Tamandua tetradactyla: one gene and its partner. The protein of the gene in region 1 purifies or fractionates together with the protein of each later gene. This does not show direct contact. Links are inferred from orthologs where the notes say so. Each region holds a gene or a part of one and is shown on either strand. Other genes may lie near its edges.

What was found.
Region 2: the proteins of POLR1E (region 1) and POLR2L purify together in Homo sapiens (affinity purification with mass spectrometry; 3 studies listed by BioGRID and IntAct, with this or other methods). This does not show direct contact. The link is inferred for Tamandua tetradactyla from reciprocal best matches to the Homo sapiens genes POLR1E and POLR2L.

The regions. Positions count from the first base shown.
Region 1 is NC_135328.1:57,715,602-57,731,341, reverse strand, and holds the start of POLR1E (DNA-directed RNA polymerase I subunit RPA49), read left to right. Parts: upstream 1-7,749; 5' UTR 7,750-7,874; coding exon 7,875-7,950; intron 7,951-8,489; coding exon 8,490-8,593; intron 8,594-13,347; coding exon 13,348-13,424; intron 13,425-14,608; coding exon 14,609-14,694; intron 14,695-15,740. UniProt on the Homo sapiens protein: Component of RNA polymerase I (Pol I), a DNA-dependent RNA polymerase which synthesizes ribosomal RNA precursors using the four ribonucleoside triphosphates as substrates.
Region 2 is NC_135335.1:666,964-682,651, reverse strand, and holds POLR2L (DNA-directed RNA polymerases I, II, and III subunit RPABC5), read left to right. Parts: upstream 1-8,314; 5' UTR 8,315-8,401; coding exon 8,402-8,496; intron 8,497-9,889; coding exon 9,890-9,998; 3' UTR 9,999-10,096; downstream 10,097-15,688. Other genes in the region: CD151 antigen, read right to left, coding at 11,437-11,496, 11,569-11,655, 11,726-11,884, 12,087-12,191, 12,705-12,779, 12,938-13,129, 13,320-13,400. UniProt on the Homo sapiens protein: DNA-dependent RNA polymerase catalyzes the transcription of DNA into RNA using the four ribonucleoside triphosphates as substrates.

The DNA of each region.
Region 1 (15,740 bases):
CACATCAACTTGCGCGACCTGGCTAACGCCGCCAGCCTCACGATCTTGGTGCTCAACGGTCTCCCCGAAAACGCGCCCCGGAGCGCGCGCGACGACCGTTCGCGCTGACAGGGTCGCCTCACCTGAGCCGGGCTCCGCCCCCCTTCTCCTCCGCTGGAGGAGGCGGTGACCCCTCTCGGATCCGACCCGACAGTGTCGGAACAGGTGGAAACGTCCAGGCTGGCGTCTTAGAGATGAGATTTCCTCCCCCCTTCCTCCCACCCCACCCCTCACCCCGCCTCCTGTCCCCCAGTTCCTTCAGTCCGTTTGGCTACCGCACTCTGAGAACACGGCGGCAGAGGCCGACAGTAAACGGAAGTGACGCAATGCGAAATGGCTTACACCGTCCCATTCCTCCTCCCCTGTGACAGAGTTGCAACCAATCAGCAACGGAGAAGGGGGGGCCGAGCCGGCAGCGCAGCCAGCCAACTCGCGGGACTCGGAGGAATTTACTCCGCCGGTAAATTGACCAATCCACGGTCGCAGGAGCTTCGCTGTGTTTACTACAGCCCGAATCCATGAGCGCTGTGACCAATCACCATTTGACTTACAACACGTAAAACTGTTATCAAACGCCTTTTAAGGCGGGATTTATCCCTAAGCAGCTGTTTAGACTATAGAAAAGTAACTATGCACCGCAGCCAATCAAAGCCTGTTGTAGTTAAGAGACTCGGATTTTCCGCCCAGTTCTGCCAATCACAATCACGACAGCCTGGGTTCTGCGCTAGCCCCGAGGCGGGACGATTGGGTTACGCGCGGCGCTATTGGGTGGTCCTGAAGGAATTCCCCAGCCTCGCGGCGCCTGGCCCTTAAATGACTCGGGACTGCGTGTGGAACTCGTTCGCTTATCCGATTTCAGGAGTCCGTGGTGTCCGGTGTCCCATCTCGTGGGCTCTCGAAAAATTAAAATAAAATTCCAAAATACTGCGGTTTAATTCAGCGAAGATCCAGGCTAAAACCGCTGAACTAAAAATGCTTTACAACTGATGGCAGTCGGGTCAGACCCGGTCCAATTCCCTTCACAGTGGCGGCGACTCGAAACGCTGGAGTCTGAGGAATCTGGCGGGCTGGTCGGGGTTCCCGATTTTGGCAATACTTTGCTCGACATTCTATGCCGCAGACCAAATATATCTATAGTCTCCAGAACAAAAATTTACAATGACCCACCCCAATGCAGACAAAATTGGGCGTGCTGAGCTCTCCCCAAAGAAACCGAAAACACGAAGGGGTCCCGGCCCTCTCTGGGACGCTGTCAGAAAAGGGCAAGCAGCTGGGGCGGTTCCCGGACGGACACCCGAGTCCTGAGGGAGACCGTAAGGCCGCGGTCCTCCGAGAGCATGGGGCGCAGAGGTCGAAGGAGAAAGAAAAGAAAGCCGGGAAGAGGACTGGTCCTGCCGGAGCTGTGCGGGAGCTCTGGGCGTAGCTCCAGAGACAGAGGTAGTCTAAGAGGTGGTTGGGTTCTTTAAAACATGGAAACGCTTCTTCACAACTTAACACCCCACGGTCCGCTCAGCCGATTTCACCCCTTTAGAGGTAACAGGTTTAAAATGTTGTCCTTTGGGTTTATAAGTTTGTAAATTCTGTTCTTAACGATTCCCTGACATCTTACAGTCCTTACACATATTTTGCCACGAGACTGGGCGGTGGAATAAGGAGACTACGGAATGTTGACAACGTGAGAAGTCTTTTCCTAGGTGGCGCTTAGATAATATCCAATGTACAGATTGGCAAAAGTTAAGATAAAAAGATTTGTATATTCAGTACTTAGGAGAGTGTGTGAAAGTGAGCAGCCTGAACTATTGTTAGTGGGAATGTCATTTACACTCCCTTTGGAGATAAATTGATAATATCTGTCAAAAATTTGAATATATCTTAATTTTCCTCTTGCTGGCCATTAGTTTCTAGAAAAAAATGTATTCTACCAAAATATGCAATTTGGAAAAAATAATTGATATATACGTATTATGGATCTTTCATCCCTAATGATCCCCTTTTTATATGGAGTAAAGCATTTTGGTTACTGCCTTCCCCCATCCCAGTTATATATGCAGTGACCTAGAGTAGGGCCACTAGAGAAAATTTCCCTAATTTGTTCCATTGAGCAGGCCTGGGAGCTGTGACATCCCAAAAACAGTCTGCACCTAACATACAGATAGATGTTGGTTTCTACGTTCCATTCCTCACCAAAAGAAGCCTGGGCTCCATGGAGAAATGACTGATTCTGGGGTTAGGGCAGGGAAAGCACAAGATGAGTTGGAACATCTCGTTGTGTCAAAAAGTAAGAACATGTTGTTCTGATTTGCTAGCTGCTGGGATGCAATATACCAGAAATGGAATGACTTTTTAAAAGGGGAATTTATTAAGTTACTAGTTTACAATTCTAAGCCCATGAAAATGTCCAAATTAAAGCAAGGCTATAAAAATATCCAGTCTAAAGCATCTGGGGAAAATACCTTGGTTCTAGAAGGCTGATGACATTCAGGGCTTCCCTCTCAACTGGAAAGGCACATGGTAAACATGGCAACATCTGCTAGCTTTCTCTCCACGTTTCTTGTTTCATGAAGCTCCCCCAGGGGCGTTTTCCTTCATCATCTCCAAAGGTCTCTGGCTGCATGGGCTCCCACGGCCCTGTCTCTCTCCAGAATGTTTCCTCTTTTAAAGGATTTTCAGTAAACTAATCAAGACCCACCTGGAATGGGTGGAGCCACATCTCTGAGAAGATAATCTAATCAAGTTCCATCCTATGGTGCTGGGTGGGATTAAAAGAAGTGGTTGCTCCCACGAGATTGGATCAGGATTAAACCATGGCTTTCCTAGGGCATATAATCTTTTCAAGCCGGCACACAAATTAAAAAGAAATAAGATGAGAATATGTCAAAAGGACACAGAAGTCACCTTGATGGGGTTCCCACTGGCCCAATCTGGGAAATTTTGAATATAAAAGTAAATAGTGTGTAAAGAACTAGGGCCCTGGCCCTGCGCCCTCCTCCATTTTAAGAGCAAATCACTGCATGAAACTGCCTACATGAAGGGGAAAGATATTAAAGGTCAAGAATGCAAAACACTTATCCCCAAATCACTGCTGGTAACCAACTCTTGTGAGACTCTGCTGAATTGAATCTCATGAAAGTCTCCTGAAACTCCATTGTAACCGAATTTCCCAAGTTTTGTTAAGCTCTATAAGCCACTATCTTGGCACACCTCTCCCCACCTCTTGGTTTTGGACAGAGTGCAAACTTCCATTTCCCAACCGTCTACCATTGGGAAAAATTATTCTCCTGTCTGTAAATCCGTAATTAAAACCCATGTCTAATTTTTTGTCCGGTGTGTTCTTTGGTCTCAGGGTTGTGCTGGGCTGGAACATAATGATAATAGCAAATTCTAATTTTTTGAATAAAATAAGAACCCATAAGTCCAAACTGGTATAAATAAATGATTCAATTGAAAATATGATGAATGGATCTTTACGTACTTTCTAAGTATCTCCCCACAAAATACTTTTAAATTGCAAATGGAAAATGAAATAACTTTACAGTAGAGGAGACTGGTTGACACCATCTTAAGTGAGCAGAGTTAATATTATGAGTAACAAATTGAAATGGGACAAATTGAAATTGTGTGCCACCTGAGAGTATACAGTGAGCAGAACACAGCATTATACCTGTGATATTCCTGTCAAAGATGCATAACCTGAAGCTGATTTGGAAACATTAAATAAACTCAGATTTAGTAACATTCTACAAAATAACTGGCCTGTAAAATGAATTGTCAAAATTATGAAATTCTGATACAAAAATGATGAGCTCTCTGCCCAAAGTGTATAACAGCCAGTCCATGACATGGGAGGTTTAAAGAGAAAAAGAGTTTATTGCTAGGCAGAAAGCAGGTGATCAGATGTCTATGGGCCTAAAAATAATCTGTCTCCCTGAATCTAAGGCATTCAAGGATTTGTTTTTGTTTTTGTCTTTGGCATGGGCAGGTTTCAGCAATTAAACCCAGGTCTCTGGCATGGCAAGAAAGAATTCTGCCATTGAGCCACTGTTGCATTGTCCTCAAATTTATGGATTCAAATAAAGGGAGATGGAGTCGTTACCATCTCAACAGCAAGTATAGGCAGAAACAATTTAGAAATGTAAAGAAATGGAACTGTGCTAGAACCAAGTTAATGGTTAGTTCTGCACTGATTCCAGGCCCTTCACTAATAAACATGAGGGGCTGTCTATAATGATCATAAGACTCTAAAGTTGAAAAATCAGATAAATGGGTACAATTGAGGGTCAGTCACAAGGTTTTAATCATAAGGGCATATGATAAAGGCTATACAATTATTATTAGCAATCAAGGCAGCTGGATTACAGTTTAGAGATTTCAGATATTTTCCTCTGTCTACTCTAATATACCAGAAGGTTAAGAAGGAATATCTATATAAGGTTTCAGTAATCATAATCATCCCCTAAATCCTAATATCTCGTTACAAGTCAAAGTAAGACTGAGGAACTGCTCCAGATTAAAGGAGACTAAAGAGCCTTGACAACCAAATGCAACATGTGATTCTGGACAGTATCCTTTTCTTATAAAAAATATTGAGACAATTGGTGAATTTAAGTGAGGTATGAGGATTATATGACAATAATTTCCTGATTTTGATGGCTGTATTGTAGTTATTCTGGAAATGCCTTATCTGTAAGGAATACTGCAGTCTTCAGGGGTGGTAGAGTGTCAGGTTAGGGGCAAAAAAGAATTCAGAGCAAAAATAAATTATTTGGGGTGACACCTTGAAAGTTCTGAGAGGAAATGATTTCCAACGTAGAATTTCATACCCAGCCAAACTAAAATAAAGAAATTTTCAAAGACTCAAGTTCTCAAAGAGACACTATCTCCCATGCATCCCAAAAGCTCCTGAAGACATGCTGTACCCAAATACAGCACGAAACAAGAAACTGGAGTATCTGAAATGCAGGAGTAAGGGGTCTGACTCAGGAGAGAGGCCAAAAAGAGGAGGTTCATGTGACATGGAGGGCAACTAGTCCAAAGTGTAGTGGTATGACTCAAGAGACAGACCAGTGAGGATGGTCAGCGGCAAGGAATCTGATGTCACCAAACTTATCTTGAGGACAAAATTTTGGATAAGTCTGACCCAGATTCTTATCTGTATCTGGCCTACTTCAATCATATACTAATGAAGTTCCCCCTGCTATAGCCAGGGTCAGCTTGCCACTCCTTTCACCCCAAGAGAGTTGTGCTTTGCCCTCTCCCGAAAGCTGGAGGTAGACAGAGAAATAGGAAGTACAAAGCAGCCCGTTTCCAGACCATAATCCTGCTGGGTGACCTGCCCTAAGAGCGCCAGGTGTCCTGAGCGCTGGGACCTGGCTGTTTCCTAAGACTCTGGCTGGCCTAGGCCACTGGCTTCCCCAGAGGGGCACTTGCAAATCTCCCAAGGAAGCTCAATTCAGGCTATGACCCAGAGCCTCTGCTCCTCTTCTCTTGGGAGCCTTCATCCATACAGGTGATGCTTTCTTTTTTAGATTTGAGCGTGCGTATCAGGTTTTGTAATAATCACATTCACATCTATTTATCTGAAAATAGTCATTGAGAAAATGATATATATATATATATATATATATATATATATATATATATTTTTTTTTTTTTTTTTTTTTTTTTTTTAACTTGGGCAGGCACTGGGAATTGAACCCGGGTCCTGTGGCATGGCAGACAAGCATTCTTACCTGCTGAGCCACCATGGCCTGCCCAAAAATGATATATTTGATTGAGGAAATAAAAAAGAAAGAAGTAGGTTGGGCAAGTTATTTAATCGCTTTAGATTCAGCTTCCACATCTATAAATGGTGGCAAAGAAGCCTTCTCAGAGCTGCTGGAAGAAGTAATTGAGCTAATGTAGATATAATGTGTGATCCAAATTAAAGGCTCAATTAGTAGTAGCTCTTTTTAAAAGACTAAATTTAATAAAGTAATTCCTTTAGTGTGTGGGTGTGTGTGCATGGGTGTGTGGTGTGTGTGCATATATGTGTGTGAGGTGTGTGTGTGTGTGTATTGGGGGTGTAGGTGTGTATATGTGTGAGGTGTGTGTTTTTGCAGTGTGTACAAAGTGCAGTGAAGGTCGATTAGGGGCACAGCTCTGTCTGCTGAGGTGCTGGAAGGTTTCCAGAGAAGGTGACTTTTAAACTTTTGCAGAAGCAATGTGCCTGGGACCCTATGAGCAGTGGCAGAATCAGAGTGCTGGGAAGCTGGAAAAGTTGATGCCTCTTCTATATATTTTTATGTTTTACTGTGGAAAAGTTCAAATGTTTACAAAATGGAGAGACTATATATATATCAACTACTCCAGTAGTTAGGTTCAGGTGTCATCTTGGCCAGATAATGGTGCCCTGTTCTTCTGTTGCTGTGGATGTAAATCATCAGCATGTGAAATTCATCCATGGCTGACTGCATCTGCTATTGGATAAGAGGAGTGCCTTCCGCAATGAGTGACGGTTAACTTAATTAGCCCGAGGCTTAAAAGAAGTCAGAAGCTAGACAAACAGCTCAGTACAACCCAGCAGAGCTCAGACAAGCCCAGCACACCTCAGCTCAGAGCCAGCTCAGACTCAGATGTTTGGAGAAAGGAACTGCCCTGGGGAAAGCCATTGAAACTAAGAAGCTGAGAGAGAAGCTTGCATCACCTTGTGCCTTCCCATGTGACAGAAAGATCCAGATGATCTTTCAAACAGCTCTAAATTTGTACCTTTATAAAGCCAAAAAAAATTGTTTCTCTAAGTTTGATATTGGGTAATTAGAAAAGCATGACAAGTGCTCAGGAAAAGGGGAACTTAGGTGCTAGGGTTATTTGGAGGAGACTGATTGCTGTGTGTGTGTGAGAGAGAGATGTTGGGGAAGGTTTCCCAAGGGTAAATCCTGAACCAAGTCCTGAGAGAAAGCAATTTAGGGTACAGAGTTCTTGCCCTTCATCTGGGCAAAAGGGATCCCATCCTAGGTCCAAGCTTTAGAGGCCGTTTTGTCCCTTTTCCTGTTCAAGTAACTCCCCATGGGAAGCGGTGACTTTTGAAACCGAAGGGACAAAGGGACATGTCCATCAGAGCAGGCTTCGTGCTTCGAGACCACCCCAGAATTCCCACCCTCCCAGGGTGGATTGGGCTGCAGGTGTGTGCAACCCAGGCGGGAAGAGTGATCACAATGAGTGGTGTTTGCGGAATTGTGGACGGAGTTTTGAGCTAGGTCTGGATGTCCACATGCATGGATGGGAGACCCTAGAGAAGGGGTTGGCTCTCTTGATCGCTACCCGTTTAGCTGGGGCTGAAAGAATTACAGTCAGAGAATTCTAAATTTGAACCTGGATTTTCAGGTTTCAGGAAGCACTATCTGTTAAAGGAGGAAAGAGAGATCATATTTTTTCTAGACGTTGCTGAGCAGGAAAAACCCGCATACAAAACGTAGGCATTTTAGGAACCGCCTTCCCGAGTCCCACGAAACTCCTAAACCTACTGAATCCCGGAGTAGTGAGGAGCTGCAGCTCGCGGAGGGCGGGCCAGGGAGGGAGCGCGGAACTGCGTGGATGGAGACCGCGGGGAGACCGCCTTCAGCGCGGAGGGGTGGGGCGAAGGGTGGGCGGGACGGAGCGTCTCAACGCTTGGGGGAGGAGCTGGAGGTGGGCGGGGTCTGCTGGGGCTGTAGCCTACGTGCGCCGCGCGCGGGGGACGGTGCCTGGCGAGGCCACGCCTCTTCCGGGATGCCGCACCGCCTCACCTCTTGCTTGTGAACCAACGTGTTGGTTGGCTCCGGGTGTCTCAACTTCAGGTTTGGTGATCCGACGGGCTGATGGCGGCGGAGGTGTTGCCAGGTGCGAGGTGGATGTATTGTGGGGATCGCAACGAAAGCCAGAGAGCTGTACTAGGTAAAGACTGAGGAGCCAGAGCAAGACCCCCTCCTTCCGGCTTTCGGTATCTGTCTAGTCCTACTGCCTGCTGTACGGGCCCCCTCCCATCTTGACCAGGACCCCTCAAATCTTCATCGTTACCTGGGGTCTGTCATCCAGCCGTCCTCTGTCCCGGCCTTCCAGCTGGATGAAGTCAATCCATTTGCTCCCTGCCCAGGGCTGTATCCAAAACCCAGACACCTCACTCATCTGCCCCATTTCCCTCTTTGCTCTGGGCGGGGATTTTCTCTATCTCTCTAGGTCTGGACCAGGCTTCTGCTGTCACCTTCCTCTCCCCAGGGAGATATTCTCTCCTGTCACAGACCCTCCCCAGAGCTCCCTTCACCTCCTTATCCCCTCTTCCCAACTGTGCTGGGATCTCCTTCAGTTCCCTTTAGGTCGGGGCCTGGGCTCCCCTGCCATCCCTGTTCCTCCAGTCACTCCCAAATGACATCCCAGTTCCTCCTCTCATGTGGGTCCTTCTGTTCTCACCCCGTTCTTGGGCTACAATCTTACAGTCCAGTTCACTAATGGGAAGCTGCGGAGTCCAGGCAGCCTGCGCTTTACCTTGTACAAGAGCAAAGATTCCACAAATCCCAGGAAGACTCATCATCGGATCCTGGTGAGTATGGCACTTGCCAATTGCCTGTCCTCTGCAGACTTTAGGAGGCCCCTTGGATGTGGGTGGTTGTGGGAGGGAATGAGGGGAGAAAAAACAAGGAACAGCAATTGGGCCTTTGAAGAATTCTTAGCCCTAGCTACTTGGGGTGTGGGGACAGGCTTGGTAACCTAGGTTTAGTACTTTTGGTGAAGTGATGACCATTCATTTGTTTGTTCAATAGGTTTTTTTGAACACCCGCTACAGCCTTGTGCTAAATCAGACCTTGCCCCACTTGAAGGGAACTAATAATATAGAGCAGAGTTTCACAACCTCTGCACTATTGACATTGTGGGCCACATAATTCTTTGTTGTTGAGAACTGTCCTTCCTTGCTTGGGTGGTAGCATCCTTGACTTCTACCCACTAAGTAACAGTAACAACACCCCCCTCTCCACCTCCATTGTGATAGCCGAAAATGTTAGACATAGCCAAATGTCCTCTGGGGTGAAGGTAGGTGTTCTAGTTTGCTAGCTGACAGAATGCAATATACCAGAAATGGAATGGCTTTTAAAAAGAATTTAGTAAGTTGTTAGTTTACAGTTCTGAGGCTGAGAAAATGTCCCAATTAAAGCAAGTCAATAGAAATGTCCAATCTAAGGCATCCAAGGAAAGATACCTTGATTCAAGAAGACCGATGAGGGCGGGCCACAGTGGCTCAGCAGGCAAGGATGCTTGCCTGCCATGCCAGAGGACCCGGGTTTATTTCCCAGTGCCTGCCCATGTGAAAAAAGAAAAAAAAAAGGAAGACCGATGAAGTTCCGGGTTTCTCTCTCAAGTGGAAAGGTACATGGTGAACACAGTCAGAATTTCTCTCGCATCTGGAAAGCCATATGGTGAACATAGCGTCATCTGCTAGCTTCCTCTCCAGCACTCTGGGACGCATTTTCCTTCTTCATCTCCAAAAGTCACTGGCTGGTGCACTCTCTGCTTTGTGGTTCTGCAGTGTTCTCTGCTCTCTTGTTCTCTAGCTTTTTCCAAAGTGCTTCTTCCAGTAAAACCAATTAAAAACTCACCTGGAATGGGTGAAGACGTGTCTCCACTTAATCGAGTTTAATACGCACATTTAATTGAGTCACAACTCCATGGAGATAAGCTAATTCAAGTTTCCAACGTTACTGAATAGGGATTAGAAGAAACCATTGCTCTCACAAGGTTGATTAGAATTAAAACATGGCTTTTCTAGGGTACATAAACCTTTTCAAACTGGCACAGTAGGTTAAAAAAAAAATGCCTCACCTAGAACCATTGCTCTAGAGGGAGAGGTGAGACCTGGATGTGAAGGACACTCATATAGGACAAAGCTCAGGGCTTTAGAGAGAAAGAGCTACAGGGCAGGGTAAGTTTTGGAAGAGGAGGAGAGCTCTCTGCTTGGCAGAATACCTGCCTGGAGGAGAGTATATTACAGTTAGCCCTGAAGGATTGAGGAGGGCTTGACAGCTGAGGTGTGGTATTTCAAGTGAAGAGCATAGCAAGGAGAAATGCAGTGGCTGTGACTGGGGAGTAAATCAGCCATTTTCAATGTCCTGAGAGTATATAGAATAGTCATAGGAGAAAAAGGGATAAAGAAGGGATTGAACATCACTTGAGCTTTAACTGCCTTCCTGAGGATAGCTCAGGTGGTCCTACTGAGGCTGTCCTGAGCTCCAGGGAGAGGGGGCAGGTAGCTAAATGCACAGGGCACACTTGGGAACACAAGACAGCAGCCGACCCTTGGTAGGCCAGTGGGGTGGGAAGGGAACTGCAGGGGACGAGCAGTGGTGGTGCTAGAGAGGTCACTAAAATTCAGAGATGCCACAATTTCCAACCTCCCCATCCAGGGCAGGGGGAGGCAGAGGACACAGAATGTGCTGTGGTGGCCAGGTGCCCCTGGCAGCACACTGGGAGGTGAGGGGAGATGTATTTTTACTCAGTAAATTTTCTTTCGGTATCTTAGCTTTGTTTAATAAAGCAACATAAAGATCTTCTGCACTATTAAAAAAAAAAAAAGAAATTTGACTTCCAGCCAAAGAAGTTGCTTGCAGAATCACCTTGTTGCATGCGTATATGGGCTGGGGAGTGCAGGGCTTCTAAACCAACTGTGTGCAACTCCTCCAAGAACTTTTTTTGTTTTAATTTTTAAATTATTTTTATGTTATGTATATTTTACCACCATTAAATACATTCATTAAAAAAATTGCACCAGGAAAGAGGTTCTGACTGGAGAGCTGGATTTGGGAACAATGTATTATATGTGATAGGTCAAAATGGGGGAATGGATAAGAATGCCTAGGAAGCAAGTGTACAGGAGAAGAGAACCAGCTTTAAAAGGAAAACTGGAGAAATGTGAAAGTCAGGACTAATGATAGAGGGAGGAATTGGAGAACAAAGATGAGGGATACTCAGAATTAAGGCAGAAAAGAGCTTAAGGATAGAGAATATAATAATAGGAAAACATGATGCAAAAAGTCCAGGAAAAGTAAGGATGTAAAAAAAAAAAATTCTAGCAAGGCCAAAGATTTACAGTTCTCAAGATTTCTGGATAATGTCATTATGATTTAGACCTAGTTTCTTATCATATTATACAAGGTTGAATCAGAGACAACACATAATTTATTCTTTCTTTGTCATATATCCTTTTGTTCATGTTTTTAAATTATTGCTATATGTTTGCATCCATAAAAAATAGTATTCTTTTATGTTTTAAATTTTTATATATATTGTATCATATACACATTCTTCTGTAACTGCTTTCCTGCATGTGAATTTTTTTCCCATGGGTCTTTATTTTTTATTTTTTTATTTTCAGTGTTAAAAATGTGAAGCATTTGGAAGTCGTTACTTATGAAGTCATTTACATACTCTAGCTGCAGAGATGCAATATCTAGTTCATTTCTATAAATGAGTACAGAATTCCTGGGCCATGTGATTTGTAGTTTGCTCTCTTTACCAGAGTCGTAATAGTGAAATCATACTATATCTATCCTTCTGTGGCTGAATTATTTCACTCAGCATTATAGCCTCTAGGTTCATCCGTGTTATCCATATGCTTCAGGACCATGCTTCATCTTGATGCATAATATTCCATCATGTGTATATGCCATGTTTTGTTTATCTGCTCATTAGGTGGTAGGCACTTGGATTCTCTCCATCTTTTGGCAATTATGAATAGTGCTGCTATGAACATTGGTGTACAAATGTCTGCCACTGCTTTCAGCTCTTCTGGATATATACCTAGGGTTGATATTGCCTAGTTGTAGGACAGCTCGATATTTAGTTTTCTAAGGAACCACCAAACTGTCGTCCATAGCAGCTGTACCATTATACCTTCTCACCAGCATTGAATAAGTGTTCCAGTTTCTCTAGTCCTCTCCAACATTTGTAGTTTCCTGTTTGTTTAATAGGTGTGAGATGATATCTCGTATTTTTTATTTGCATTTCCCTTATAGAAAATGAAGGTGAGCATTTCTTCATGTGCTTTTTAGGCATTTGTATTTGCTCTTTGGAAAAATGTCTATTCTATTCATACCTTTTGCCCCCGGGAATAACCCAGATTCACATAGTGGGGCTGGACTATCTCCCAGAAGCCCTCTAGTTCTAATCCTAGAGGTTCTGGATTCTAAACCATTTTTTTTTTTTTTTTTTACTTTTTTACTGTATAGTATAACATATATACAAAGCAAAGAAATAAAAAAGCAATTCATATCTTTAGCACATTTTATAATTGGGTTGTTTGTTCTTTTGTTGTTGAATTGTATGATTTTTTTGTATATACAGGAAATCAAAACTTTTCCGTATGTGATTTCTAAATATTTTCTCCCACTGAGTTGGCTGCCTCTTCACCTTTTTTTTTTTTGACTTTTCTATATTTTTATTGATAGAACAATATAAAACATATAAACATTCTTAACATACAAACATTCCATACATGGTGTACAATCAGTGGCTCACATATCATCACATAGTTGTCGATTCATCACCATGATCATTTTTTTGAACATTTGCATTACCCAAGAAAAAGAAAGAAAAAAGAAAAAACTCATACATGCCTTATCCCTCCCTCTCACTGACCATAATATTTCCATCTACCCAATTTGTTTTAACCTTTGTTCCCCCTATTATTTGTTTATTTCTTATCCATATATTTTTTTTCCTCTTCACCTTTTTGATAAAGTCTTTTGAGTTGCAGAAGCATTTGATCTTGCGTTTCCATTTATCTATGTTTTCTTTTGTTGCTTGTGCTTAGGAAGCTACGTCCTGTTACTAGGTCTTAAAGATGTTTACCTACATTTTCTTCTAGAAGCCTTATGGTGCTAGTTCTTATATTTAGGTGTTTGATCCACTTTGAGTTATTTTTTGTGTAGGGTGTAAGATGGGGGTCCTCTTTCATTCTTTTGGCTATTGATATCCAGTTCTTCCATGCCCAATTATTGAAAAGACTATTTTGTCCCATTTCAGAGGATTTGGGGGCCTTGTCAAGAATCAGTTGACCATAGATTTGGTGGTCTATTTCTGCACTCTTGATTCGATTCCACTGGTCAATGCTTCTGTCTTTGTGCCAGTACCATGCTGTTTTGACCACTGTGGCTTTATAATAGGTTTTAAAGTAAGGGAGTGTTAATCTTTTAAAGTCAGGGAGTGTTATCCTAAAGCTTTTGTAAATGTAGAAAAAGGAGACCCTTTGCTTAATATCTTTCAACGTTGGTCATAAATGGAGCTTTTTTCCCCTTTACCTTTTAGGCAGCTGAAACAGATAGACTTTCCTATGTGGGAAACAATTTTGGAACTGGAGCCCTCAAATGCAACACTCTATGCAGGTAGCGTGGGGAGAAGGGGTAACGGGAGAGGTGGGGAGCAGGGTGGCGGTGACAGCACTGGCACTCTTGTTCTTGGTCTTTATCCTATGAACTGTGGGAGAAATCTTGGGAGGTTTACCATATCCCTGTGTCCCCACATCTAGGGGTCCTCATACCAACCTGCAGACATTCCTGAAACGGAATGATGATTTCTATTTGTTGACTTTCTTTAAACTTCATTAACTTGTAAGGTTCTTTATTTATATCCTATATTTCAAAAGGTAGTGCTCTCCACTAATTTGGAATGTGTGCGCAGTAGGCCAAAATTTGCCTCGTGTTTGCCTTGGTACTAACTGCTAGAAAAGGCTTTGGTAGGGTTGAAAGCTCTGGGCTGGGAAAGGGAAGCTCCAGGCTTTCATTTAGCTATTCCACTGACTGACTGAGTGACCCTGGGAAACCCTGCCCTTCACTGACCCCCAGCCTCTCCCTCTGTGCAATGAAGACTGTGTGGACTCAACAGTCCATAACTCTCAAGGGCGGGCGTAATTGAGACAGAGTCTTGTGATATACCCAACAGTAAACCACAAACAAGGCCCTGCCCCATCATACCCTAATAGAATTGAGATTGAGGCATGTATGCTTATGAGTATTAACACTATATGCCTCACAAAAATTCTCTAATTCAGAAAGCTCTTCTCCCCATGATTAACCAGACTGGATTTGTATTTGCCACCTTAAAATTTATGTGTGGGGCGGTGCAGCGGTGGCTCAGTGGCAGAATTCTCGCCTGCCATGCCAGAGATCCAGGTTCGATTCCCAGAGCCTGCCCATGCCAAAAAAAAAAAAAAAAAAAAGAAAAGATTATATGTGCAATAAAAATTTTAGTGTAATTCTAGATTCTAATACCCAAAAGGATTTCCTGTCATAGCAGGGAGTCCAGGTGTTTTTCCAAAACCTAGTCATATCCTCTCCTCTTCTTTTCCACTCCCCGCTCCCAACATAAAGAAGTGCTGCTATTGGGGATTCATCGCTACTCACGGGCAAGAGATGTGTTTCTCACATGTACTGGGGAAGAAAGAAGGTTGAGGGCTTTTAACAGGAGAAAGAGAAATTGTTACAAACAACATCTTTTTGGTTCTTTTTCTTTTTAAACAATCATCTTTGGAATAATCCACTGTTGCTGATATTGTACTTTCTTTCTTCAGACATTTTGTGGGGGTTTTGAACAAGACCTCTGGTCAGATGGAAGTATATGATGCCGAGTTGTTCAATATGCAGCCACTGTTTTCAGGTAGGCCCCGGTCATGAAGGGTCATAGACACTTATAAGCACTGTTCAGGGTTTGCTGAATGAGTTGGTCTGAATTTTTGATTTCCAAAGCACTTGTTCTAGTTTGCCAGCTGCTGGAATGCAATATACCAGAAACGGAATGGCTTTTAAAAGGCAGAATTTAATGAGTTGCTGGTTTACTGTTCTAAGGCCGAGAAAATGTCCCAGTTAAAACAAGTCTATAGTAATGTCCAATCAAAGGCATCCAGGGAAAGATACCTTGGTTCAAGAAGGCCGATGGAGTTCAGGGTCTCTCTCTCAAGTGAGAAGGCACATGGTGAACACAGTCAGGGCTTCTCTCAGCTGGAAGGGCACATGGCGAACACAGCGTCATCTGCTAGCCTCTTCTCCTGGCTTCCTGTTTCGTGAAGCTCCCCGGGAGGCGTCTTCCTTCTTTATCTCCAGAGGTCGCTGGCTGGTGGACTCTCTGCTTCGTAGTGTCACTCTCTTTGAATCTCTCATTCTCCAAAATATTTCCTTTTATAGGACTCCAATAAACCAGTCATGACCCACTCAAATGGGTGGAGACATGTCATCCCTAATCCAGTTTAACAACCATTCTTGACTAAATCACATCAACCAGGGAGATGATCTCATTACAGTTTCAAATATACAGTATTGAATAGGGATTATTCTACCTTTATGAAATGGGATTTATATTAAAACATGGCTTTTCTTAGGGGGCATACTTCCTTTCAAACCAGCATAGCACTTTCAGTCATTTTTTTAAAGGATGTCTTTCTGCCATGTTTTTTTAATTTGAAAAAGTTCAGGAAATATTTATTGATGATCTACTGTTACCAGGCAGTGAGCTAGGGGCTATGGACGCAAGCAAGACACACGCAGATCCTGTCCTCACAGTCTTGACAGACTTGAGAATCAGAAATCCCAAGTTGTGCAATAAAAGCTGAATATTACAGAGCATGTCAGATATCAGATTATTTTCCGTTGAAGACCTTTCTTTTTTTTTAATTTAAAAAAATTTTTTTTTATTAATTAATGGAAAAA
Region 2 (15,688 bases), on another chromosome or scaffold:
CCATTTACTCCAGCCCGAGCGGGAGGCCGCTTTTGGGGGACCCCGCACCCTCCCAGGGGTGCCCCCCATACCTGCTGTGAGGGCCTGAGCCAGGCTCCCAGTCCAGGGCTGCACCTGCCCCCGACACCCACACCACCGGCACTGTGAGGTCAGATGCCCAGCGCCCGTGGCGCCCTCAGGCTGGGGAGCACTGCCTCAAGGCTTTGTCCTCACCGTGATCCACCCAGCGTCATGGGGAAGACTGGTGGGTGTCAGTTAATCACTTTCTGACCACTGGACTGAGCCAGGCCAGGGAACTGGACCCAGCCCTGCCACCCCAGCCTCAGAGGACAGGGCCTGAGACCCCTGGTGCAGAGCTCAGGCAGAGACCCCAGACTTGGTACCAGCCTGGGGAGGGCCCAAGGCAGGCAGGGTGCCCCTCAGGAAACTGCACAAGGCTGAGGGCTGGGGAGCTGGAATCCGAGTGTGTGAGCATGCCCCAGGGGAGGGGAGCAGGGGTGGGGGGGGCGGGGGGGGGCAGAGAGGAGCACAGGGGGAGAGAACGGAAGGAAAATGGAGGGAGGGAGGGAGGGGACCACAGGCACCGCTGACCAGCCCTGAGGCCCTCACAGCCGTGGGCTGAGCCCTGGGGGTAGTGGGCCTGAGGAAGGGGGGCTGCAGTGGGGGGGGTGGGACCCCTGGCGCCCCTTGCCCCGCTGTGCTGCCCAGAGCCCCTGCCTGAGCCCATGCAGAGGGCCCTGTCCCCAAGACAGGCACCGTGAGTGGACGCAGATGGAGCAGGGCCCTCGCGCAGAGCCTCGGGCTGGGGGGACTCACTGGCTGGGCTTGGTCTCGAGCCCACCACAAGCCCGCAGGAGCCCCTCCTCCTGGGGCGGGGACCCTGGGGACAGATGTGGCCCAGGCTCCAAGGCAGCCCGTGCCCGGGGTGGGGGTGAGGGGGGCTCCCAGGCTGGGAGGGGCTGAGCTGCCCACCGTGAGGGCCAGGTGGGCTGTGCCCGGGCCCCACCTGTGCGTACCCCTCCTCATGCCCGGCCACCTGCCCAGCCCTCCTGGGCTGCTCTCCCCTGGAAGCCTCCGAGTGGCCAGGCAGCCCACAGAGACCCTGGCCCTGCCAAGGTGCCCCCACCCAGCCAAGGCGCACAGCAGCCACAGCCAGTGGCTCCCGGAGGCTGCACCGCCAAGTTCCACCCCTTCCACTGAGATGCCAGCAGGGGCAGGCGCCCCACAGGGACATGGGGGCACAGTCACACACTGCAAAGGCACAGCACACGTGTGAGGCACGCTGCACGTGTGTGCAGAGACGTGTACTCACACACAGACACACTCATGCAGACTCAGGAGGCACTGACAGCACTCACCCCCTAGGATCCAGCCCCCCAGCTGGGCAGGGGACCCCAAGGCAGCCTGCAATGCTCCCACCTCTCCCCAAGGCCCAGGCCACATCAGCTGACCCTGGGGCTGGCCTGTCTCCCTCCCACCACTGGGAGTGCAGGGTGGGGAGAGGGGCCGAGCTCCCTGGGGCCCAAGGCGGTGCCTACCACTCCCAGCCCTGGGCCGGGGGGGTGGTGACTTCCCAGGAGCCCACAGGGTCTGCACATGCCCAGCCACCCAGCTGTCCTGATCCCACATGGGGATCCCCGCCCTCCGTGAGCCTCCAGGGCCTGGAAGTGGTGCACCGCCGAGGGTCAGGGGCAGCAGGCAGGCGGGGCGTGGGGGCCACTCCGGCTGTCCAGGCCTAGCACCAACCCCAAGCTGCCAGCAACAGGCACACCCACACAGGGACGGGCACCCCCAGGCAGCCCCTACACCCCCAAGGAAGGGGCAGAGAGAAAGAGTGCCAGGACCCCATACCCCCCAACCTGGAGCCTTAAGGGCAGCCCCACCAGCACCCCTCACAGACCCCCAGCCCTGCTCCTCACACCCCAGTGCTCCCGCATGGGACATGGACTCAACAGAGAGCCAGGCCAGCTGACCCTCCCTGCCACCGGCCCCAAGTCAGCCCCTGGTCACTTGAATGGCCTCCAGGTGCCCTTCCAGCCCTGGGACCCCCACCCCCCAAGGAATCCCGGGCCCTGGCCCCACCCTGTCCAGGGCAGTCGGAGATGGCAGCCAGTCCTGGCCTTCACTCTCCTGGCCTCCTCCTCCTCCTCCAGGAAGCCCTCCACCCCCTCCTGTTACTTTTTTTACTCTTTTGAACTGTTTATTCCATAGTCAGTTATTTTGGGGATGAAAACTCTAATTGTATATAGATTGAAAGCAAAAAATATCTACCATTTAACACAAAATATCCAGCTATCAACACATAGTTACACAGACACAACTCAGGCAGATGAAAGGAAGGCCAGGTAACACGCAGCAAGAACACCTGCCCTCCGGCCAATGACCCCTCGCTCCCAGCACATTTATTTACTTCCACAGGGTGCCCCTAAGGTAAAGTTACTTGACATTAGTCGCCAGTTGTTTACCACCCCTTTCTTCTATTAATTGTGGGTTAGGGTCCCATCCCCTACCCACACCCCAAGGCAGGCTTCCTGCACTTCCTGCAGGGTCGGAGGTGCCCACCCCTGAGCCCACCGAGGTGTGTGAGGAGCCGAGTGAGACCCCCGTGCAAAGTGAGGAGGCCCCCTGTGGTAGTTAGGTTCAGGCAGGTGTCAACTTGGCCAGGTGAAGGCACCTAGTTCTGTTGCTGTGGCCATGAGCCAATGGTATGTGAACCTCATCTGTTCCTGATTACATCTGTAGTCGGCTAGGAGGGGTGCCTGCTGCAATGAATGATGTTTGATTTAACTGGCTGGTGCTTAAATGAGAGATTCAACACAGCACAGCCCAAGCAGCTCAGCATACCACAGCTCAGCACTTGCAGCTCAGCCCGGGCCTTTGGAGATGCAGAAAGGAATCACCCTGGGGAAAGTTGTTGGAACCCAGAGGCCTGGAGAGAAGGCCAGCAGAGATCACCCTGTGCCTTCCCATGTAAGAAAGAACCTCAGTTGAGAGTTAGCTGCCTTTCCTCTGAAGAACTAATGAAATAAATCCCCTTTTATTAAAAGCCAATCCATCTCTGGTGTGTTGCATTCCGGCAGCTAGCAAACTAGAACAGATTTGGTACCAGGAGTGGGGTGTTGCTGCAGTTTGCAAACATCAGATATGTTGGAACAGTTTTTTGGATGGCTAAGGGGAAGATTTTAGAGGAACTGAGAAGAGAAGGATGGAGAAGTCCTGGAGTGCTTGAAGAGACTGTTGGCGTAAATGGAACCACTGCCAGTCTGGACAAAGGGGACACAAAAGGGACAAATTGGGGAGTTTGCAAAGTGAGGACCATGGAAGCTTGGGTCTGAAGCCAAGAAACCTCGAGGAGAGTGGACCCACCCATATACATGGAGAGGGTGAGTTTACCCTGAAGGGCGAGGATGAGCCTCCCACCTTGTTGCAGTGGAAGAGTTGTGCAGCTTCAGGCCTTGGAGAAGGTACAACACGCTCCTTGGGGACTGGGGAGAGCCTGGCTGCCACCACATGGAGGGGTTGAGCGTGTGCCCCGGAAATGGCAGAGAGCCAGGTGTGGCCTTGATGCCTGGAGAGAGTGGAGCCCAGAGGTGGTCTCCTCAATGTCCCCAGAGGTTGATTCAGAAAGAGGCCGGCCACTGCACAGGCCCTTGGAAAGGGTCGGTCTGCCACTTTCTAAAGCTGAAGGATAAATGACTTTCAGACTTTGAAATCCAATGGTCTTTTCCCTTCTAGTTTCTCCCCATGGAAATGAAAACCTGTATCCTGTGAATATCCTCCTTTGCATATTGGCACCAGACAACTTGTTTTGAGATTCACAGGTCCACAGTCAGAAGAGAATATTTTGCACCTTAATATTGTTTAAGGTGATGCAAGTAGTTGCCAAGTTGACAAGGGGTGGACATGTGGTAGTTAGAGTCAGTTGTCAACTTGACCAGGTGAAGGTACATAGTTCTGTTGCTGTGGACATGAGCCAATGGTACATGAACCTCATCTGTTGTTGATTACATCTGCAGTTGGCTAGGAGGTGTGCCTGCTGCCATGAATGATGTTTGATTTAATTGGCTGATGCTTACATGAGGGACTCAATGTAGCACAGCCCAAGCAGCTCAGCATACCTCACCTCAGCACTCGCAGCTCAGTCCAGGCCTTTGGAGATGCAGAAAGGAATCACCCCGGGGAAAGTTGCTGGAACCCAGAGGCCTGGAGAGAAGGCCAGCGAGATCACCCTGTGCCTTCCCACGTGAGAAAGAACCTCCGTTGAGAATTAGCTGCCTTTTCTCTGAAGAACTAATGAAATAAATCCCCTTTTATTAAAAACCAATCTGTCTCTGGTGTGTTGTATTCTGGCAGCTAACAAACTAGAACACACCCCAAGGCAAAGGCCAACAGGGAGATCTGGGGGGGTCTAGGCCGCAAGAAGCTGACTAGGCCAGCTCAGGACCGGGAGAGGCTGGCATGTGCCCTCCCCTCTCCTGGTGGGCAGCAGGGTACAGAGAAGGGGTGCAGAGAAGAGATGCAGAGAAGGGGTACAGAGAAGGTATAGAGAAGGGTGAGAAGAAGGGATGCAGAGAAGGGTACAGGGGCAGTGTGATGGTGGCTCAGTGGCAAAGTTCTCACCTGCCATGCCAGAGACCCGGGTTCGATTCCCGGTGCCTGCCCATGTAAAAAAAAGAGAGAGCGAAGGGTACCCTTGTGCAGACAACGGTGGAGAGAGGGGGTGCAGAGAAGGGATTCAGAGAAGCTGGTGGCCATTGGTGGTGGCTCCAGGGCTCAGGGAAGCCTCTGGGTTCTCTGCCCTGATTTTACTTTTCTCCCCTTGTCATAATCCTAACCTCGTCAGCCTTTCCCCTGGCCTTGCGATGAGTTCCCTTGAAAACCGAAGGTAAGAACTGGGCATTGAGGGCAAAGGGTGGAGGTCATAGATGCCTGCAGGAGGGTTTGGGCCTGGTCCTCAGAGGGCAGCTGCCACGCAACCCGCTCACAGTGGCCCCCATCGCCCAAACTAGGGGTTTTCAAGAAAAAGGAGAAATCCAGGTGTGTCTAGGAGACCTCCCGATTCCAAGCTGGCAGTTGACTCAAGGTCTCGGCTTGAACTTGCTCAGGTCCCTCTGCCAGGAAGCCCCGAGCAAGGACCCATGACCCCCGCAGCCCCAGGCTGCTGGTGAGGACCCTAGACCAAGGCAGGTGCAGCTCGGCGAGCCCAGGGCAGGCCCCGGCACCTACCTGGCCAGGCCGAGGTCCCTCCAAGACAGCACGTGGGGCAGCCTCCGGCCTGGGCCCCAGCAGCTCCCAGCGGGCAGCAGGCCCCACCCCGGCCCGGCCCCCCAGGCTGAGCGGCTCTGAGGCGTCTGTGAAGAGGTGGCCCGGGCGAGCGCCAAGACAAACAGGCCCGATGTGTCCGCTCCCGCCCCCCTGGGGGAGGGGCGCCACCAGGCCCCAGGCCCTGCAGGCTGGCCTCTCCCCCACAATGAGCTAGGGGGCCAGACCGGGCCAGAGACACCCCCTTGCGTCTCCCCTCGCCCCTCCACCCGCCCACCTGCAGGAAGCCCGGGCAGCCCCGCCTCTGGCACCCACGTGGGGACGTGTGCCCATCCGCCCCAGCCCCAGGCCCCTCCGAGCGGCCGTGGCGGTCTCGGGGTCAGGCTGCAGGGCCAGCGGCAGGGGCACTTCCACAGGCCATCAGCCTAGCATGCCCCGCTGCCCGCAGCTCCCCGCCGCTGCCCAGCCCCGGGCCACCCACACCGGGTGGGTGTGCCAGACCATTGACCACGTGTGCCACCAGCTCTGCAGGGGCTAATGGGAGGCTAGCAGTCACCCCCAGCCCTGGGGAAGCGCGCGTGCAAGAGAGCATGTGTGTTCCTGAATGCGTATTACGTGGGCACACCCTCACCATGCCGTACCCGCCCCACGCGAGAACACGTCTGTCCAGAGCAAGCATGGGGACCTGGGCAGAGGGGGGCAAAGGCTAGCGGGCAGCACCAGGGGACACGCACGGGGGCACAGCTGGGGGTCCAGAGAAGATGCAGTCCCTGGCGGCCCACTCCCAGGCTCGCAGGGGCCGGAGGGACATTCACAGTGGGCAGGTTCCAGCCCCATGGAGCTGTACACATGGGGAAACTGAGGCCATGGGCCAGGGCCTCCTCCTCGCCGCCCCCCCACCCCCCAGTGGCTGTTTCCAGGGCAACGCTGCAGGGTGGGAGGGGCTCAGCAGCTGTCCACTTCCCCAATTTTCCCTTGTCGCCTGCCCTGACATGACCCGCCTCTGGCAGGAAACGTGGTCAGCAGGCTCCAAACCACAAGTGACCACAGGCCCCCTTGTGCCCCAGCCACCACCGGAGAGTCCAATGACCCACCTCGGAAATCCAGCACCCGGCCCTGCAGACCCCAGCCTCGAGCCTCCCCAGAGGGCCGCCTCTGCACTGCCACCCCACACCTGCCCGAGAACCCCGTCTACCCTACTAGCAGGCACAGCCCCCCCACCAGCCAGTGTCTGAGCTCCCACAGCTCTCTCCCGGCCTGGCCCTGGCTCCCACTGCACACCGGAGGGAGCAGGGCAGGATTCTGCAACGCCCATGGGGACACACACCCCCAGGACCGAGCGGGTAGCAAAGAGGGAGGAAGGACTGTCGGGTCAGGGCTGGCGACCGGCCAGAGCCACCACAGAGTTGGAGTGGGAGAAGCATGAGCTGCGGGACCGCTCCAAGCAGAAGCGGTTGGGGACACTGGGCGGGTCCCAAGGCCTCTCCAAGGAAATCAGGGAAGGGAAGCCCACCCCACCATACCCCACCCCCAACACACACAGATTCCAGAATTCCAGGAATGTCAACTTGGCGGAGGCCAGTCGGGCCACTCCCTCCTCTCCCTCCCTCTTCTCGCCTCACTCTCCTCCACATAAACAACTGCGCAGGGGCGATAGCAGGGGCGGAGAAGGCGCGGGGCTCCTCCTCCAGGAAGCCCTCCAACCCTTGTGCCCCACCTACCCACCCCCGGGGTCCACCCGGGTCCCTGACTCTCGCTCCAGCCTCCCTCACCTCCTTGCTCTGCAGCCTCCCCTGCCGCTGAGCCCGGTTCTGACCTCAGGCTGCCGTGACTCAAGGGTCCTCTCTGGCCCCTCCAGGGGAGACAGGATGTGCGTCCAGTCCTCCTGGGTGGAGGCGGCTGGGAAGGGAAGTGGCCTTAGCTCGTGGCTCTGCACGTGGCCTAGAGGGGGATGGAGAGGGCCACTGGGGAGGTGGAGGCACAAATTCCAGGCAACAACAGCCGGCCCAGCCCTACCCAAGCCCAGGAGACCCTTCCATCCCCTCCCACATCCAACTGAGTCAGGGTCCAGCTGACACCTGGGGTGAGACCGGGGGGAGGCAGGGACCCAACGCAGACCCCGTCCCAGGCAGCTCCAAGTCAGGCAGCTCCAAGTCGTGGGTCTTCTTTTACACACACACCCCCCACCGCCGGCCCGTCGCAGCCAGCCCAGCGTCCCCTCTTCCAGGCAGCCTTCCCTGCCTCCCCCGCACACTGCCCCGCCTGCCTCCGCCGCCAGAGGCTCGGCCTGCCCGGGCCACCCCTTCCCCTCCAGCCCCCAGGCTGCCCGTTCCCCTGGCCACGACGCTTCGGCCCGCCGGGCTGGGGTCAGCTGGCCCACGTCGGGGCTGCCCAGCATAGCCTGGCCGGGGGTCCCTTCCCCGGGACCGGAGCACTCGCCGCCGCGGCGGGGCGCTGCGGCGCTGGGGGCACCTCCGCCGTCGGGGCCCGACGCCCCAAACTCAGAGCCCGGGCTGGATGGCCGCGGGCGAGGGCCGGGCCCGGAGGGGAGGCGGGAAGACCACCGCCCGGCCCTGCCCCCGGCCCCGTGTGGCTGCGGCTCGGCTGCCCTCGGGACTCGAACTCGCGCCCTCCAGTGTGCCCGGCTGTGGTACCGGCCCCGGCTCGGCTCGGGGCGGCGGGGGGCGGCGGAGTCCGGGGGCGCCTCCCGGGCGGTGGGGGGCGGTACCTGCGCGCCCGTCCGCTCCCGCCGCACGGCTGTCACTCCCGCCACACGCGAAACGCGAGCGCCGCCGCAACCCTTGCGGCCCAGCTCGGACGCCGTAGACCTGAACGTACCAAAGCGGCCGCGGGGGGTGCCGGCTATTCCCGTCGCGGCCACGCGGGCCCCGGGAGCCCCCGCCCCGCGCAGAGAAGACTTGCCAGACGTAGAGTAATTGCCGCAAGGGCGGTCGGTGGCGGGGGTGGAGACGGGTGGTGGCAGCGGCGGGTGGCGGCAGGGCGCGGGGACGTCCCCCCCTGCGCCAGTGGGCGCGCCCGAGGCGGGGCCTGCGCGCCGCGGGCGGAAGCGCCTCCTGAGCCGTCGAGCGCAGCCGATTGTCAGACAGCCTGCAGGACCGGTCCGCTGCCTGCCGCCGCCATGATCATCCCCGTGCGCTGCTTCACCTGCGGCAAGATCGTCGGCAACAAGTGGGAGGCCTACCTGGGCCTGCTGCAGGCCGAGTACACCGAAGGGTGAGGCTCGGGCCCGCGGGAGGGCGCGGGGGGCGGGGTCTCTCGTGGGGGCTCGCAGATCCGGGTCCTCCTCGTCCGGGGCCTTCTCGTCCGGGGCCCTCCTCGTCCGGGTCCTCTTCGTCCGGGGCCCTCCTCGTCCCGGGTCCTCCTCGTCCGGGGTCCTCCAGACTAGCTCCTGGTTTGGGGGGGGCTGTGGAGCTGGGCAAGATGCCTCTAGGTATCCTCGCCGCGGGTCACCGTGGCCTTCTCATCCCCAGGAAATCCCTCAGCCTCTTCCCTGCCACCTGCTCCTCACTGCCTCTCCCTGACACCCCACCACCACCCGGCCACCCCTCCTCCGCCTGGAATGGCCAACTCTCCGCCCCACCAAGTCCTGCAAGCCCCGCTCATCCTTTTAAGAGGCGGACAAGCTGCCTGACCACGCAGCGCCCACCCCTCAGGCAGGAGGCTGGCCCCTTTTCTGTGCCTGCCCCTTAGCTCTGCAGTCAGCTCCTGGGAGCATGTCTGAGAGTCTGCCCCCTTGCCAGCCGTGTGTCACGATCCCATTTGAGCCCTCGGGCCCACATGTGTGCCCAGCATACAAGGGAGTTGCTGGGGGGAGTGTGCCGGATGAATGAGGAAAGTGAATGGATGGCGGGGCACTCAAGCCAGGCCTGAAGAGGTCTGTGCAGGCTGCTGTGTCCCTGGGATGCTCTGAGCAAGGGGACTCCTGGTCTTGCCTCCCACTTTCCCAAGCTGCCATCTGTGCATTGGAGCCGATGCTGTGTGGGCTCTTTGGAGACCTTGATGGCTAGAACACAGGTCCCAGGGAAGTCCTGACTACTGATTGGCATAGGGATTAGGAGGTGTCACTCTCTCGAGAGGTGTTTCTTTTCCTGATTTTGGGGGAGCAGAGCTCAGGAAAGTCCCCTTGGTAGCTGTGTGATCTGTGATCTGTGTGTGGCACCTTTGTCAGCCAGGGACCATGTGGGTCTGCTGGGGTCTGCTGGCTGCAGTGATGTGCGTTCCTGTGTATGGAGGGAAAACTGCTAAGGAGCCAGCCCCAAGGGGAGAGGGGTGTGTGGGCTCTAGCAAGGCAGCAGAGTCCCGGAGAATGAGCCATGAAGACCACACCACAGCCAGAGAAGGCATAAGCCTTGTGCCTCTAAGCTCCCCCCGATACTCTGGAAGTCCCGAGAACCACCCCAGCCCTGGGTGAACGAGCCCAAAGCAGAGGCAGAAATGGGGCTTGTGTGGGAGCAGCAGACTGGTGGTTGGAGGGTGCAGAGGGGGCAGCCCCGGGGGCTGAGGAGTGGAGTAGGCGGGAGAGGTGGTCCAGGGTGGTCGCTGGGGCGTGTGGACTGTGCAATGCGCATGACCACAGCCTGCTCATACCACCTGCCCCTACCCGCAGGGACGCCCTGGATGCACTGGGCCTGAAGCGCTACTGCTGCCGCCGCATGCTGCTGGCCCACGTGGACCTGATCGAGAAGCTGCTCAACTATGCTCCCTTGGAGAAGTGACCGCATATGACAGCTGGGGGTGGTGCGGGAGCCAGGCCCTAGTGCAGCCTGGTGGACTCCGAGCTCTGGAAGATGTCAGTAAAGGTCTCTGTGCAGGATGTCCTGAGGCCTGGGACTGGATTTGTGTAGCTCAGCCCAGAGTGTGTGCCCGGTGTCCCCCAGGGCCAGGATGTGCCGTAGGGTAGGGGCAGGGAGGCCAAGTCAGTCTCAGGGCATCTCTGCTGCTTTGTCCTGAGGCCTCTGGGTGCTGATGAGTAAGCCGGCTGGGGGGAGGGTCAGGGCCTGCCCTGGGTCAGTCTGAGTTTTTTGGGGGCGGGACTGCATCCCCCAGGTGGAGGGGGGATGCTGGCCGAGACCTGCCTGGCCCTCGAGGCCCAGCACCCACTCCCCCAGCTTCCCAACTCCAGGGTGATGCCCCAGACACTTGCCTTGGCCTCTTCCCCTCCCTGACCCAAAGCCAAGCAGTGGGGCCTGGCGGTTTCCCCCACCCAGCAGCTCCTGCCTGGGCCTCCCCACAGCAACCAGAGGCAGCTCTGGGAGCCACATACAGGCCCCAGCACTGAAACCTGTAACCCCCTCCCAACCCACCCCCACTCCTGGCTTCCCTGGGGCCCGAGCTCCTTCCCCCTTGAGCCCCTGAGCTCTCAGCTTAGGCATCAGCTCCTTGCTTGGCCTTGGGGACATGCACTCTGCCTCCCTATCACAGCACAGGAGTGAGGGTGCTGGTGATGCTGCCGGGAGCAAAGCAAGTTCATTCAATCTCATCTGCCGGATCCACAAACATTTATTGAGCGCCCACTTCGTGGCAGAGCAGCTCTGGGCATGTGGGACAGAGCAGTGGATAAAACGGGCAGATCCCTGCCCATCCAGGGAACATCCTCAAGAGGGAGACACAGGGACACAGTGTTTCAGACAGTGTTGACTGTGCAGTGGGGAAACTAAGGCAGGGGACTCCACTGAGCAGGCAGGGTGTGAGCAGTCGGCATGGCCAAGACAGTGGGTGGAGCACAGTGTGGGGCAGGCCATGGCCACCCTGTGGGGACCAGCAACCTGGGCCCTGTGCCTGCCCGGCACCGCTCCCTCTCCAGGGCCTCAGAGCACCCCAGGGCAGACGCTAGGACTAAGCGTGGGCATCGGGGAGCACCCTACCCCAGAGGTGGCCTGTGTGTGGGGGGGTGCTCTGTTGTCAGGACCATCCCCCCTGCTGCAGGGGCGCTGGAGGCCTTTCCTTGCCCCAAGACTTTGGAGTACAGCGAAAGGCACGTGGAACTGTCTCTGGGGAGGAGAGGCAGGTGCCAGGTCACAAGGCCAGGCCATCTGGCAGTGTGGGGACCAGGTGACAGGCACTGCTCCCCCTGGGCCCAGGGCAGGGGCAGGGCATGTCTGTCAGTAGTGTCAGCTCAGTAGCTCCAGAGGCAGAGGGCCGGGCCGGGCGGCCTCAGTAGTGCTCCAGCTTCAGGCTCTTGTACAGGCAGCAAGTGAAGATCATGCCGAAGACCTGAGGGCCAGACGGGGTGAGCGCCAGACCCCCACCCCCACCCCACCCCCCGCACCCCCGCCACCTCCGCACCTGCACACAGGCGATGCCGACCCCCACGGCCCCAATGACTCGCAGGTGCTCCTGGATGAAGGTCTCCAGCTTGGAGATGCAGCCGCCCTGGGGAGGGGGTGGCTGAGTGTGGCCGAGGCTCCGGGCGTCCCACACCCCCGCACAGGCGCCAACCTACCTCCACCTTGTAGATGTTGGAGGCGTGGTCCCGTTGCCCGCAGCCGGCCACTATGGTCTTGCAGCAGCTGTCGGGGACCACGCGGTCACCCGCCTGGCCCGAGCGGATCCACTTGCTATCCCGCCAGTCCTGCGAGTTGTTGCTGCCGCAGCAGTGAAACTAGAACAGAACAGATGGCTGAGCCCAGGACACGGCGTGTACACACGCTCACCTGTGCCGAGAATGCACCTGCACACGAGCACACACCCACGCTCACCTGCGCCAAGCATGTACACTTGCTTACATGCACAAGAGCACACGTGTTTCTGCCCATTGTCAGGCACAGGTCCACAATCTCCCACGGGGCTACGTGCACACCCACCTCCTGCTGCAGCTTGTCCACGGCACTGGTCACGCCCTCGTGGCCTGGCTGGTGGTACCGCTTCGTCATGGTGTCCTTCAGGTTCTCCTTGAGCTCTCTGTTCAGCTGGGGAGGGGGAGTCAGGAGGTGAGCTTTAGCCTCAAAGTTTAACACCCCCAAGATGGGGCAGAATTGGGGGCAGGGGACAGATGGTAGCAGAGTTGGGGGTCGGGTGGGGGCCCAGGAGGGCCTCAGAAGCCAGAGGGGCCGGGTCAGCCGGAAGCTGAGAGGGACTGAGCCCCGGGACCTGGCTGAGGGAGGTGGGGCATGGGGCTTCAGCCTCCCCTGTGTACCCAAGGTAGGTGGCTTTGCTCCCCAGCCCCCTACCTCCAGGAGTGGAAGGCACAGAGCTCAGCTCTGGGGTAGGGTCAAATGGAGATGAGCGGGACCTGCGCATGCCTTGCACTGTTCCCCATGGCCTGTGCACGCCCCTCGCTCCCCCATGGCCTGTGCACACCCGTCCCCACCTCCGTGGCCTGTGCACACCCCGTCACTCCCCCATAGCCTGTGCACACCTGTTTCCACCTCTGTGGCCTGTGCACGCCCCGCCCCCACCTCCACGGCCCGCGCGGCCCTCACCTGCTGGTAGTAGACATAGGCCAGGACCCCAGCAATGATCTCCAGCAGGAAGATGAGGAGGAGCAGGATGAAGTACTGGGGGGGACAGACAAGGCTGGGCCAGGGCACAGACACCCGCACTCTGCGATGACACCAGTGCCCAGGCAACCCGTGGGGGACCGCCATGCCCACTGGCCCAGCGGGGACACGGCCGTGCAGAGGCCTGAGCACGTGCCTCCCCCTGCCCCGCTCACCAGCCGCAGCAGGTTCCGCCGCTCCTTGAAGGTGGCACAGCAGCCCAGGACGCCAGTCCCCATGACGACAATGCCCGCCACCACCAGGATGTAGGCTGTGGCCAGGTAGGTGCCCGAGGCCAGCAGGCTGATGTAGTCGCTCTTCAGAGCCAGGGTCCAGATGCCCACGGCCATGACGGCCAGGCCAGCCAGCTAGGGAAGGGACATGGGGCGCCTGGGCTGGTGGGGGCCTGAGCCCCCAGGGCCGGTGGAGGCAGGGGAGGGGGTCTGGTGGGGGCCTGAGCCCCCAGGCAGGGGCTGGGGCAGGGGCAGGGGGTTGGTGGGGGCCCAAACCCCCGGGGCAGGGGCAGGGGCTGGGGCTGGGGCTGGGGCTGGGCCTCACCCAGAAGCAGCAGTTGTAGGTGAAGAGCAGATATTTGAGGCACACGGTGCCGCACGTCTCCTTCTCGCTGAACTCGCCCATCCTGGGGCTGGGGGGTGGGGCAGGCAGTGGTCAGACGGGAGGAGGGGACCCTGAGCTGGGGCCCTGCTGCCAGGGGAAAGCCTGGGAGGGAGTCTCCGTGGCCACCAGGACTGGAGTCCCTTCTGCCGAGTCACTTCCTGTGTGTGGGGGGGTGGCCTGGAGCCACCAGGGCCAAGCCCGAGGCCACGGCCATGCCCAGGGAGGGGTGCATAGAAGACTCCCCCACCAGCTGACTCGCCCACTCGGTGCCCCACACAGGAGCTCAGGCAGGTCCTCCCAGCATTCCCCAGGCCCCACGTCACAGGCCGGGAGGTTTGAGGGAGTGGGTGGAATGGACCTGCCCTTTGCTCACCGGGCGGCCTGGGGAGGCTCTCTGGGTCTATGGGGGGGCGGCAGCGCTCCCTCCCTCCCTCACCCCTCCCACTGGGCTGGTGGAGCCCCCTCAGAACAGGGCTGGGGTGTGATGTGCCTTCCCCCCTCACCCCAGACCTCTCCTGACCAGGAATGTACCTGGCGGGGTAGGGGCTGTGCGGGTTGGGGGACTGCCCCAGGCCAGCTGCCCGATCTAGCAGTGGCAAGGGGCGGGAGCTGAGCGCTGTGGCCTGGGGCGCCCTTTCCAGACAGGCCCGCCCCGGCGCTCCTGCCCCGCCCGGCGGGCGCTCACCAGGCGCGGAGGCGGCTCCGCAGACGTAGGTGGACGGTGGACGGAAGTCCTGAAGGCGCGCCTGGCGGGGCAGGACAGTCACCGGTTGCAGTGGCCAGTCCCAGGGGGCGCTGATGGCCCTCCCTGCCGGGCTCCGCCCCTGCCTGGCCAGGACCCACGGGAGGCAGAGGGATGGCCCGGGCCAGTGTTTTGGTCTGGGCGCGGCGGGCAGGGTGGGGCAGGAGACATTGCTGGACTGTCTGATCCTGGGAGGGCCTCAGGCCTCCTCCGCGTGCCCCCCCCAGGCCTCGGCCCCTGACCTGCCCTCCCCCCACCCAGAGCACAGCAGCTGCAGCCCCGGAGGGAATGCGGCTCCAGCACTGACAGGTACCCACACCTCTACTGCTGTTTTGGGTTCAGTTGTGTCCCCGACCAGCACCTCAGCTCGTGACCTTATTTGGAAATTGGGCCTTGTGGAAGGAGTTAGTTAAGATGAGGTCACGCTAGAGCAGGGTGGGTCCTCGGCCGCACACCACAGGTGAGGGGGGGTGGCAGGGGGCGTGAGAGGACCGTGGCGCAGGTCCGTCAAGGTGAAGGCAGCAGGAAGGGCCGCCCGCCGCACATTGTTTTAAGCCATGCATTGGAGACACTATTCCAGCAGCCCCAGGGATGCAACACAAGCACTGGGCTGGGGGCTGGGGGCTGGGGGCTGGGGGCTGGGGCCCACCCACGCTGCCCTGAAGGCCACCACCACACACCTGACCTCGAGGACCCACCGACCAGCAGCCCCTCTCCCCGGGACTTCCGGGCCAAGGCGCAGCCCCTGGGGACGGACAGCCTGGGGGCCTGGGCCTGCCAGAGACAGCCTGGGTGGCTTGGGCCTGCTGCCCCACCCCAAGGCCGGCCCCACCAGGGGACCCGGAGTCCGCCACCAGGCCGCGGCCGGAGTCCCCACCCCGCTCGGCCACCGCGATGAGGTCACCGCCGCCGCTTCACGTGCACGGGGCAGCGGGCGGGCCTGCGGCCACACAGGAGGGAGGACGCGGGACACTGCGCCGGGTGCGTGGACTCGCACTCCGTGGCCCCTGACCCGAAGTGGGGGCGCCAGACCTGACCAGGCAGCCGAGAGGCGCCCTCGCCCCGCGGCCCCTGTCTCCCTCCCGCCCTGAGATGGGCTGCGACGGATCCGGCGGGCGCGGCCTCCCACCCCCACCGTGCGGACAGCCGGGTCTCCCGCGCCCGGCCGCGCAGGGTCCTCGGGGCAGCCCCGCTCCCGCCAGCCGGGCCCCCCACCTGGCCAGCCCCGCCCGGTTGCGCACTCACCCGCCACTCTTCGCAGTCCGGGCCCAGGCGGCGGCTGCGGGGGCGGCGGCTCCCAGCGCAGAGAATGCGCGGCCCGGGGCTGACCAGTGGGAGCCGCCCGCCGTCCCGCCCCGCCCCCCGCCGTCCCGCCCCGCCCCCCGCCGTCCCGCCCCGCCCCCCGCCGCCCCGCCCCGCCCCCGGCCCCACCCCTCGTGCCGAGACTCTGGGCAGGCCCGAACTAGAGAGCGCGCCGGGGATCCAGGGTGTTAGGCGCTCGGGGGTCGAGCTGGGATCCCCGGGGAAGTCCGCAGCCCAGCTGGGGCGCCTCCCCTCCCCCGAGAAC